Callithrix jacchus: one gene and its partners. The protein of the gene in region 1 interacts with the protein of each later gene in a pairwise test. Links are inferred from orthologs where the notes say so. Each region holds a gene or a part of one and is shown in the gene's direction. Other genes may lie near its edges.

Region 1 (3,600 bases):
AAGCAGCACTCAAGATTAGGAGAAGAAATAAGTTTATTTTGGATCATAAATTTTTTAACTTTTTCAGATTAATGTGTTTTTTTCCTATAATGTTCTTAAAAATTCTAGAGGCAATTTTCTCTGTGCACCTTTGAAAATGAAATACATGTCATGACTAACGCTAAGCAAAGTGAAATAGATTGTACTTCATAACGGAGGTGAAATTCAAGAGAGAATCCAAAAAAGTCACACATCTCAAGCTCCTATCTGTCAGATTTGGCATCAGAGATTTCAACCAGTGGAATTAGTCATTTGGAACCTGAATAGAATTTTATTTCCCAAGTTCCAGTATGTTTATACATCTCAGAAGCAAAGACTCCTGTGGGTTCCTCCCTCTTTTCTGAAGTATAATCACTGAGGAATTCCCAAGGGACTAAAAGATTATAACTTAGAAAATTTATATTTCACTCTTATTAGGAATACAGGTAAAATTGTATGACTTATCTAAAAATAAGAAGTGTGGAGAAGGCAAGTTTCAGGAAGTCAAAGATCATAATTCCAGCTCTAACCAATATATATTTTAACTTACAGGAAACAAGTTATTCCTATCAGTTGTGTAAAGAGACTTTTCCATTTGTATGCAGGTAGACATGGTTTGTACACACACACACACACTCACACTCTTTAAACCCAGTATATACCTCACTTCTCCAGTCCTGTCAGCACATGCTCTAAGATCACAAAAAGCACTGGAAGATTGCTAACCACACTGACCATTTTTATAGTGGTGGACAAACAAATGAATGTCCTTTTATGAGCCGTAATACTAATTTTAAAGAAGACACAAGCAATCAATGCACAGAATCAAAATCTGTGGGAATATTAATTTCCTGATTTGTAATGAGTTGTATCTATAATTATTGATTGGCCAAATGTTCTCTTTCTTTTCTTATTCTGTCAAAAAGACAATGCTTCCTATGATGATTTTCTGAAATAAGTGTTTTGTCTTGCACATGGAAATGGTGTGGGCCCTGCTTTGGTAACCTAAAGTTATCCCCCTTTTATGAGGCATACAACTCTTCTTCAGTAAATAAACAACTCTAATGAGATGTTTGTATAAAAACCGGCACCATCAATGATGACGAAAACATCCGGTGCAGTCTGTAAACACCCATTTTGAGGGGGCGCTATATAAAACTCTCAGGAGGGAAGGAGTGTTTTGGAGTCAAGGCAACTGGTGTTTTGCAGCCAGTCTCTGTCTTTGCTTCTAGAAGGATGTCTTCTGACTGCTCCTCCACGCTCTGCTCTCCTGAGTCCTGTACCAGGGCTTCCTGTTGTGCACCTGCCTCAAGCTGTTCCATGGAGACAGCTTGTCTCCCCGGTTCCTGTGCTGCATCCCGATGTCAGACCCCTAGCTCCCTTTCCAGGTCTCTCGGGCTGACCGGTTGCCTCCTGCCATGCTACTTTACTGGGAGTTGTAGTAGTCCCTGCTTGGTGGGGAACTGTGCCTGGTGTGAGGATGGAGTGTTCACTAGCAATGAGAAGGAGACGATGCAGTTCCTGAATGACAGACTCGCCAACTATCTGGAGAAGGTGCGCAGCCTGGAGGAGACCAATGCAGAGCTGGAATCCAGGATCCAAGAGCAATGTGAACAGGATATCCCACTGGCATGTCCCGATTATCAGTGTTACTTCAACACCATTGAAGATCTCCAACAAAAGGTGCATGTCCTGTTGCCCTAGTGCTCCAGCTTCTCGATCTATGGTTTGCTTTATCTTTCTACTAGAAGGTGCTGTTTTACAGAAGGAAACCAAGAGAAAGGAGAGTTCTACAAGTTAATGGTACATAGGGAAGAGCACTGTGCTGGAAGTCGGGAAACCTCAGTCCCACCCCTAAAGCTACCCCTGATTACTGAGTAACTATAACAAAGTAACTTGTCTGTGGACTTTTCCTTCGTCATCTATAGAATGCAAAAAGACTGTGTTATATCCAAAATCGCTTTTGTATGTGACACTGAACATTTATATTATCTGAACACAGATCATGAAATGCCATCTTTTTAACCACCTAGTCATTTTCTTCTCTCCCTGATGAATTTCCATTATGGGAGAGGGTATAGTCATAATACAAACTACTGATGGAGAAAAACGTTAATGGCGTTCCACTGCCTAGGAATAGTGCAAAATGTCTTATGTTATGAGAAAAAGTGAACCTTTTTATGTCTCTATTTTGTTTCTGAATTGGCACTGCTTGTTTGCTTCATCAAGTGACACGGTGAATACGGAAAGCAGCTAACGGCCATTTTACACTTTCTTATAAAGACTTTCAAAGGATAACTAATGGCATAGCTGTTGGATAGTAGTTTATTTAGGTTTCTCTCAAAGAATACTTTATTAAATAAGGACTTTCTTCACAGATCTTATGCACGAAGGCAGAGAATTCTAGACTTGCTGTACAGCTTGACAACTGCAAACTGGCCACTGAGGATTTTAAGTCAAAGTGAGTTGAATTTTATTTAATTTATTTATTTTGAGGTGGAGTTTCCCTCGTTGCTCAGGCTGGAGTGCAGTGGCACTATCATGGTTCACTGCAACCTCCGCCTCCTGCGTTTGAGCGAGTCTCCTGCCTCAGTCTCCCAGGTAGCTGCGATTACAGACAGGCATGTGCTGCCATGCCCAGCTAATTTTTGTATTTTTAGTAGAGAAGAGGTTTCACCATGCTGGCCAGAATGGTCTCAAACTCCTGACCTTAGGTGATCTGCCTGCCTTGGCCTCCCAAAGTGCTGGGATTACAGGCATGAGCCACCACACCCAGGCTTAATTTTATTTTGAAAATAATTTATGGCGCTCTCTCTCTCTCTCTCTCTCTCTCTCTCTCACACACACACACACACACACACACACACAAACACACACACACTCTCTCTCTCTCTCACACACACACACAAATATTCTCTATATAATATCTTAAAGTTAAGAATGTCTTAAAAGCTTGAATTTATCATTACTCAGGAATTAAGAGAAATTCTGCATGTGGCTTCCTGAAATTCATATGTCGATCCTCCATGTATCCTCACACTTTGCACAGCATTCAACAGAATAAGTGTTGGATTTCTCTTTTGCTGTGAAAGGTACGACAGTGAACTGTCCCTTCGCCAGCTGTTACAGGCTGACATCAGCGGCCTGCATGGAATCCTGGATGAGCTGACCTTGTGCAAATCCGACCTGGAGGCCCATGTGGAGTCTCTGAAGGAAGATCTTCTTTGCCTTAAGAAAACCCATGAAGAGGTAAGGAAAGTGGCAACTCCGTTGAAGGACTCCAAGAGTGACATAGTTACACTGACAGATGATCTGTTGATGTTTGTGAATAGAACTAGGGCAGATGTTGCTTAAGCTAGACTAAAACTGCTCAAGGCATTATTACTGCTCAGCCTGATCATTCCAGTGTGTCTCTGAATTAAGATGTGAAATACCCCTGGCCAGTGCCAGACGAAGAAATCAAACTCTTCTCCTGCCCCTGCCTTTGTGGAGAAGGTGAATAACTCCACAAATGGCTTTCCTTGGAGGTTTTATGCCACTCCTAATTCCAATCCACCGGCTATAAAAATCAGGCTGAGAAAC
Region 2 (3,075 bases), on another chromosome or scaffold:
AAGGAAGGGAGAGGGTGAAGGTCATTGCCAGGATGCAGGTTCCAGCCAGAGCCAGAGCTGCCCTCTGCTCACCCTCAGGGCATGCTTCTTGGTTTCTTCCTTTTGTCACCTCTCTCTGTTCATGGTTCTCACCTTGACACACTCTTCACATGCTGTCCTGAACCTCGACGCATGGCCCCTGGTCCCCGGCAGCCCTCACCTGCCGGAGTCATCACACACACTCCCTCCCTCTTCCTTCCCATGGCCAGTCTGTCTCATTCACCAGCCTTGGAGGAAAGTGCATTGGGGGAGCTGGGGTGCTGGGCCCCTGCAGATGACACAGGTGACATTGCAGGGGCTTGATGACTGGGGCTGGTGGCTTGGTGAGCTCAGCTCTGGGTGCCTGGGTGTCCTCTTGGGGCTGCTGGGCACTCCAGCATAGGGTCTCACGCTCCCCTCCCTGGACTGGGGTGACTGGTCAGTCTCTGCTCATAGCCGCTAGGGCCAGAGCTGTTGGCCAAGCCGGGGGCAGGGCCTGGGCCTGAGCACCTCCCCGTCTGCTCCCCAGGGTGGCAAGGAGTACCTGATGCGGGCCCACTTCGGCCTGCCCAGCGTGGAAGCAGAGGACAAGGAGGGCAAACCCCCAATCAGTGTCAAGTTCGAGATCCCTTACTTCACTACCTCTGGCATCCAGGTACGTACGGCCCAGGTGAGGCCGCAGGCAACAGACATCAGTGCAGCCAGCACGGAAAAAGGGGTCAGGCAGCTGCAGCCACGACCCCATGGTGCTGCGGGGCTCCACCTCCCCACAGGCAGTGGGACTCCAGATGAGGAGAGGCGAGGCTGCCTCTGCTTAGCCCTGATCTCAAAGCCCAGAGACTCATTCTGCCCAAAAACTAGCATTTGAGGCTCTGCTGTCCATACTGATGCATCATGGGACGTCTTCCCTGGCACCCCCTCAAAAGCCCATGGTGGGAGAGGCTTAAGGAGAGCCAAGGGCCTTCTGGCTGGGCCCCCAGCAGGCTGCTGAGGCTGAGTCTGCAAGGCTCACTATGGTCGTCACCGCTTCCAGAGGCGGCTCTGCCCTCCCACGCCTCTGCATGGTCCAGACACAAATCCCCTTCACCCCCGAGGTCTGTGCTTGTCCACTCATCACAGCCTCCCCTGCCAGTCCTGGGCTGCTCCAGCAGGAATGGTTATGGGGGGACCAACAGGGATGGGAGCCTGCGGTGCTCAGGGCCCTGTAACCTGTGCCCCAGGTGCGCTACCTGAAGATCATTGAGAAGAGCGGGTACCAGGCCTTGCCTTGGGTGCGTTACATCACACAGAACGGAGGTGAGTGCGGCCCCACCGTGGGGTAGGGTTGTGCTGAGGGGTCCTCTGTGGCTGCCCCCAGGGTGGAGCGGTCAGCTCAGGTCCTGAAAGCCTTGTCGGGTGCCCACACTCCTGGGTGCAGAGTCCAACATGAGGCCTCCCCTTCTGTCTCCTAGATTACCAGCTCCGGACCCAGTGAGGGGCTGTCGCTGCCAATGCCCTGGGCCCAGCACCAGGGGACACACCTGCCAAGCCCGCCGGAGAGAGGGGCCCTCCCTGGACTCGGGCCAGCCTCCCAGCCTCTGCCCAGGGACCCCTGCCTTCCCCAGGCCACCTGCTCTGCCATCAACACTCATCTCAGAAGCCCCTTTTCCTGAAGAGGCTGGTCTTCAAGAAATCTCGTCTCTTTGTCCCTGAAGTCAGTTTCAGGGGAAGGAGATGAGATGAAAACTTTGCCTCTAGAGGTTACAGCCTTTTATGCTGTTGAGCTCCCAGGTACTAAGAAGCTTGGCCAATGCTTGCCAGACAGACAGTCAGCTGCAAGTGGTATCTGCCACCAAGGAAGCACCAGCCTCACCAGGCCAGCCGGTGCGTCGTCTTGTTGCCATTTTGTTGAACGTGATGGGTTTATGGGTGTTCCTGGAACTTGTCTTTGTGCATTCGTTGCTGTTTGTGTTGCCCTCACCATCCCCATGTCCCACCCACATCCCACGGCACTCAGGCAGCACTTAGTGAGGACGAGCCCTCACCCTCGTCTTCCTCCCTGGCAGTGCTTGCAGGGGGCCGTTTACACATCGGTGCCGGGACCTGGTGCTCTCGGGGGCCACTGCAGCATCTGCCTGCTCCCTGGAGGCCCCTGTTCTGGACTCACAGGCCTCACCTGTGGCACCTTCTCAGGGCCAGCCTGGGTCACAAGACGCTGTCACTCAGCCAGACCAGTATTTACCCAGCAGGGGAGGTGGGATTCGGCGAGAAACGCCAGCCTCAGACTTCTTCCCACTGAGGGTCCAGAGAGCGGGGCCATGTGTCACCCACGTCTGCGCTTGGTCACCGCCCTCCCCACCCTATGTGTGTTCATGTCATAGTTACATTAAATTCCATTCATTGAATACTCTGCGGTCTTCCTCGGTTGCGGCGTGGTCTCGACGACTCCTACATGACCACGGGCAGCTGCAGCACTTGCCTGGTTTCATCATGACGTTCCTGTGGCCTCACAAGGTGCCACCAGCTTCTGCTTCTCGAGCTAAAACAGGAAAAGCAGCTGCTGGATGAGACAGCTGCAGCGCTGGACCATGGGCCACCACTTCTGTGCCACACAGAGGAGACCACAGAGGCAGGTTCTCTCCTCCGACCTGCTCTACCCTCAGATGGCCAACAGCTGGTCCCCGCCTCTCCCCAGCCTCTCCGAGCACGGTCCTTGTGTCAGCAGCATCCCTGTGTGCTCACTAGAAATGCAGGTTCTTGGGCCAACCCTGACCTGCCAAAGCCGAGGCTCTGGGGCCAGGGTCCCGGAAACCATTAACAAGGGCCCCAGGTACTTTTTCTGTGAACTGCTACCTGGTCCATGGGGGAAACAGCACGTAGATAAGACATACTCCCGGCTATCCTGCCCCCAGTGCTCATGGCCCTGCCTGGCCAGCACCCTCTTGCCTTGGTTCTCCCCCTCCCTCTCCTGTCTTGCTGAGCTCACCCTCAGGCATCTCGTGGGCATCCATCCTAACACGACCCAAGTAGAACCTTGGCTGTCCACCCATGCGGGTCTTCCCCGTCTCAGTAATGCCC
Region 3 (3,823 bases), on another chromosome or scaffold:
GGCTTCAGTCAGAATCCACAGCCAGTGCCTCTGGCCCCCTATCTTCACTCAGCTCCAGAGAAAAGCGGGGACAGCAGCTTTCTGCGGTCAGAGGAAGGGTACATTTTCTTTTTTTATTTTCCAAAAAATTTTTTCCCCTTTTTTTACCTTCACATGAGCAGAGGAAGGAAAGGTACATTTTCTTTGGCTGCTCTACCCTCTAAAGTAGGGCGGCCAGCTGAGAGGAGGACGCGCTTCTGAGGGGCCCAGAGCTTTTCCAAGCTTTCCCCTGCCCCCTGAAGACTGTGTGCTGAGCTGGGGGCAGTTCTAGAGAACTGTTTCCACCCAGATTGCTCTGTATGTGTGTGTGTGTGTGTGGGGGGGGGGGGGGGGCAGAGCTGAGAGGTTGTCCAAGACTAGGAGAGATAAAAGTTTCTCAGGACTCGACCTTGGCCTCCAGCAACCGCGACATCTAAAAAGGGGCGTGTCGCTTCGACAGTAGATCCCAGCGGACCTTATGGCACCAGGTTCACCAGGGCCCGCGAATTCTGCATCTGGAGACTTCTTGAAATCCGGATGCTCAAGCCGGGAGGCGCGCAGTAGCCAGAAGGATGGGAAGCCCAGGCTTGGGCTAGGAAAGCGGCCTTTTAAAACTGATGTCAGGGGCCCCTGGGAACGCAGCCCCGAGCCAAGAGGAAGAAAGTTAAAGGCGAGATGACACGCACTGAATTGGGCAAAGATTGGAAAAGGGGACAAAACTGCGTGCTTGAGCATCGGAGTGCGGGGGAGGGGGCACAAACCCGTATCCGATAGAAATTAAAATCCTGGGAGTAGGTGGGGGCTGCTGCGCGCCCTTCACCCTCGGTGCCCCCATTAAGGGTTCCGAGTTCCCTGCACTCCTGTCCTCTAGCTCCCTGCTTTCTCTCTCCTCGGCCGGTGAGCGGCGGCCGCCGGCGCCCCAGCAGCAGCTAGATGTCAGGCGAAGCCCGGAGCGCGGAGCGCGGGGAAGGGAGGGGAGGGGAAAGGAGGGGTGGGGCGGGGAGCGCGCGCGGGCTTGGCCAGTGCGGGGTGGTGGGCGGGCTGAGCCCGGGGACGGCGCGGGAGGGGGGAGGGAAGGGGGGCAGCTGTGGGCAGGGAGCCGGGCTCGGCCGCCAGCACTAAAGATGGAGAGGCGCCGGGGCCTTGCAGGGGAGGGGGCTCGGCGTTGACGTGGGACGCGGCGGAGGCGCAGCAGCCGGTGGTGATTTGCTAACCTCGCAGCAGAGAGGAGTTGAGGGCGATGAGAGCGGGTACTGCGAACTGCCGGGCGATGCCGTCGCTGCCGCCGTGATACGGAGAGCAACAGTTCCCCAGCAACACCCCTCCCCGACACAGGCACACACCCCCCGACAGGCACGCACACCCACCCCACAGTGCCCGGCTCGGCTGCGGTGAGTGAGGGGCCGGGGAGAGGCGCACCGCCCAGCGAACGCCGCGCGCCGAGCCCCCCCGGGGCTGGAGAGGTCTGGGGGGCGCGCGCTCGCTTCGGCCACTCGGCCGCTGGGCTTGTGCCTTTTTTATTTGGCGTGTTCCCTTACTGCCGCTGCAGCCGTCGCCACCACCGGTTGGGGATCGGCTGGAAGGGGGAGCCCCGGCTGTCAGCCTGGGCGCAGCTGCCTCCGCAGCCCTTCCTCTCCGGGGCACGGTCGGGGTGAGAGGTGGGGGGCGTAGCGGTCTGCGGGGGCTGAGGGCGTGAGCAGAGGGTCGGGGATCTGGAGGCTTTGTACTGCCAGGGGCGGGCAGAGGAGCAGAGCCCGTGGGTGCTCTTATGTTTGCCGACCGGTGCGCGGGCGCGAGATAAGGTTGTGGTTTATTTATTTGTGTGTTTATTCGCCGGCCGGCTGGGAAGCTAGAATTGGAGAAGCTGACGAGTAGATGCGGGGGCGGAGGAGAGCAGGACTGGGACGGCTTACGTTTTGTTTCTCTTTGAAAAAACGTGGTGGGCTTTTTCTTGATTAGACTTGATCCCCCTTTTGCAGGGGAGGGAGGGAAGCTCCAGAGGGTTTCCAGCGCTCCGGGCCCTCCTCGGCTCTCGGCGGGACGGGCGGTGACGCCGGAGCTCGCCGTGCGCTCCCGGCCGCTCTCGGTGGGTGCCAGGCTCTGCACCTGATGCGTTCGGGATGCCTTTCCCACCCTGGCGCGCCCGCCGCTCGCTCGCACAGCGCCTCGCACACTCCCGCACGCGCTGGAAATGCGCACGGTCCCGCCGGCCCGCGGACCCACCGAGACGCACAGAGCGCTCCGCACCGACTCGCTCGCCGGCTCCCGAGCCGCTCGCACCGAGCCTGGGCCGGGCGCGCCGGCCGCTAGCGCTGTTGGCCCGAGGCCCGGGACCCAGCCGGTCCCTCCTGGGGGTCACGGCCTTGGGTCGGAGAGGGAGGGCCGGCAGACCCCTTCTCGCCTTTCCTCCCACAACTCGCTGCGGGGCTTTTGTGCTTCCCCTTCGCCGCGGGGCGGGTCCGCCTCCTGCCGCCGCGTAGTCCTGCCCGCCCGGGCTGTGGCTTTTCCTCCCCGTCTCTTTCGCTTTCCCCTGCCCCTAGTTCAGCTCTCCTTCTTTCAGGTGTCTAGCTCTTCGGGAAAAGTTGCTTCCCCAAGTTTGCTGAAGTCGTTTCCAACTCTCGGTGGGGGTCGCTGGGAACTGGGGGCGTGTGAGAGCGCAGTCGATCCTGAGGCTCTGGCGGGTTAGCGCCGGCTCTCCCTGCGCCGCCCGGCTGGACGCTGCAGCCAGCTCCGGCCAGATCGCAGGCGCTGAGCGGTGGGTGGGGAAGACGGCTGCCTGAGGGTGCCCCGATTTCCCTCAGGACCCAAACGGCTTGTTCTGGGGCGCCAAGCATCCATTCTTTTGGCTGCTCTCTCCTAGTTTTCAGAAGTCCCGATGTCTGCGGGAAAGCACGAGGTGGAGAGGCTCGGCTGAATGGTCATCCCACCCTTGGCGGCCTCCATCCCCACCCCGGGGTGGGCAGCAAAAGTGTCTTGATCAGGCGTCCTGTGAATCCTTTCTGTGTGAGCGTGGAGGCTCCTGAACTGATAGAGCTCCTTCTGGGGGTGGAGGCAAGTAAGCAGTGTTTGAAGAGTGAGGGAGAGACCTTGCTGTTCCTTGCTCCCAGTTCATTCACTGCAATATTGGCCGCTGCAAGGCAGACACGGGGAGGGCCCTGGGCCTGGGCGGTCTTTCTAACACTCCTTAAGCGGGATTCGGAGTACAGGAGCCCTCTTATTGATCCTGAACAGGCTCAGGGAGAGGCCTTTGTTTCCCAGCCCTGTCTTCCCTTCGTACTGGTTATAACTCACACCACAGATGCTGGTGCCAATACCACGTCCGGAGCCTCTGAGCCATGGCCAGCATCCCTTGCTGCCCCTGGTCACAGGACTTGCAGACTCCTTGGAGCCTGTGGGACACACGTGGAGTTCACACACCCAGCCCAGCATGAGCACTCCTGGCTGTAGGGGCGCATATTTACTACCGGCTCTCTCCATACCTTAATGACTCATCCTTCTTTGTTTTTTAGATCCTCCTGTCCACTGCTCAGTTATGGGTAGGAGGGTAGGTACAGCACCTTATGTAAGTGTGTGTGTACACCCACTTTTTTTTTTTTTTTTTGAGATAGAGTTTCACTCTTTTTGCCCAGGCTGGAGTGCAATGGCGTGATCTTGGCTCACCACAACCTCCACCTCCCAGTTTAAGTGATTCTACTGCCTCAGTCACCTGAATAGCTGGGATTACAAGTGTTAGCTACCATACCCAGCTAATTTTGGATTTTTAGTAGAGATGGAATTTCTCCATGTCGGTCAGGCTGGTCTCGAA

Evidence for each region.
Region 2: the proteins of KRT40 (region 1) and AP1M1 interact in binary tests that used the Homo sapiens proteins (3 or more experiments, as listed by UniProt). The two-hybrid records come from large-scale screens. The link is inferred for Callithrix jacchus from reciprocal best matches to the Homo sapiens genes KRT40 and AP1M1.
Region 3: the proteins of KRT40 (region 1) and ZBTB16 interact in binary tests that used the Homo sapiens proteins (3 or more experiments, as listed by UniProt). The two-hybrid records come from large-scale screens. The link is inferred for Callithrix jacchus from reciprocal best matches to the Homo sapiens genes KRT40 and ZBTB16.

Annotation. Positions count from the first base shown.
Region 1 is NC_133506.1:92,276,163-92,279,762, forward strand, and holds the start of KRT40 (keratin, type I cytoskeletal 40), read left to right. Parts: upstream 1-1,213; 5' UTR 1,214-1,254; coding exon 1,255-1,701; exon of another isoform or gene 1,702-2,396; coding exon 2,397-2,479; exon of another isoform or gene 2,480-3,110; coding exon 3,111-3,267; intron 3,268-3,600. UniProt on the Homo sapiens protein: May play a role in late hair differentiation.
Region 2 is NC_133523.1:14,851,597-14,854,671, forward strand, and holds the end of AP1M1 (AP-1 complex subunit mu-1), read left to right. Parts: intron 1-547; coding exon 548-673; intron 674-1,238; coding exon 1,239-1,314; intron 1,315-1,469; coding exon 1,470-1,492; 3' UTR 1,493-2,402; downstream 2,403-3,075. UniProt on the Homo sapiens protein: Subunit of clathrin-associated adaptor protein complex 1 that plays a role in protein sorting in the trans-Golgi network (TGN) and endosomes.
Region 3 is NC_133511.1:13,736,676-13,740,498, forward strand, and holds the start of ZBTB16 (zinc finger and BTB domain-containing protein 16), read left to right. Parts: upstream 1-1,240; 5' UTR 1,241-1,409; intron 1,410-3,823. UniProt on the Homo sapiens protein: Acts as a transcriptional repressor. Transcriptional repression may be mediated through recruitment of histone deacetylases to target promoters. May play a role in myeloid maturation and in the development and/or maintenance of other differentiated tissues.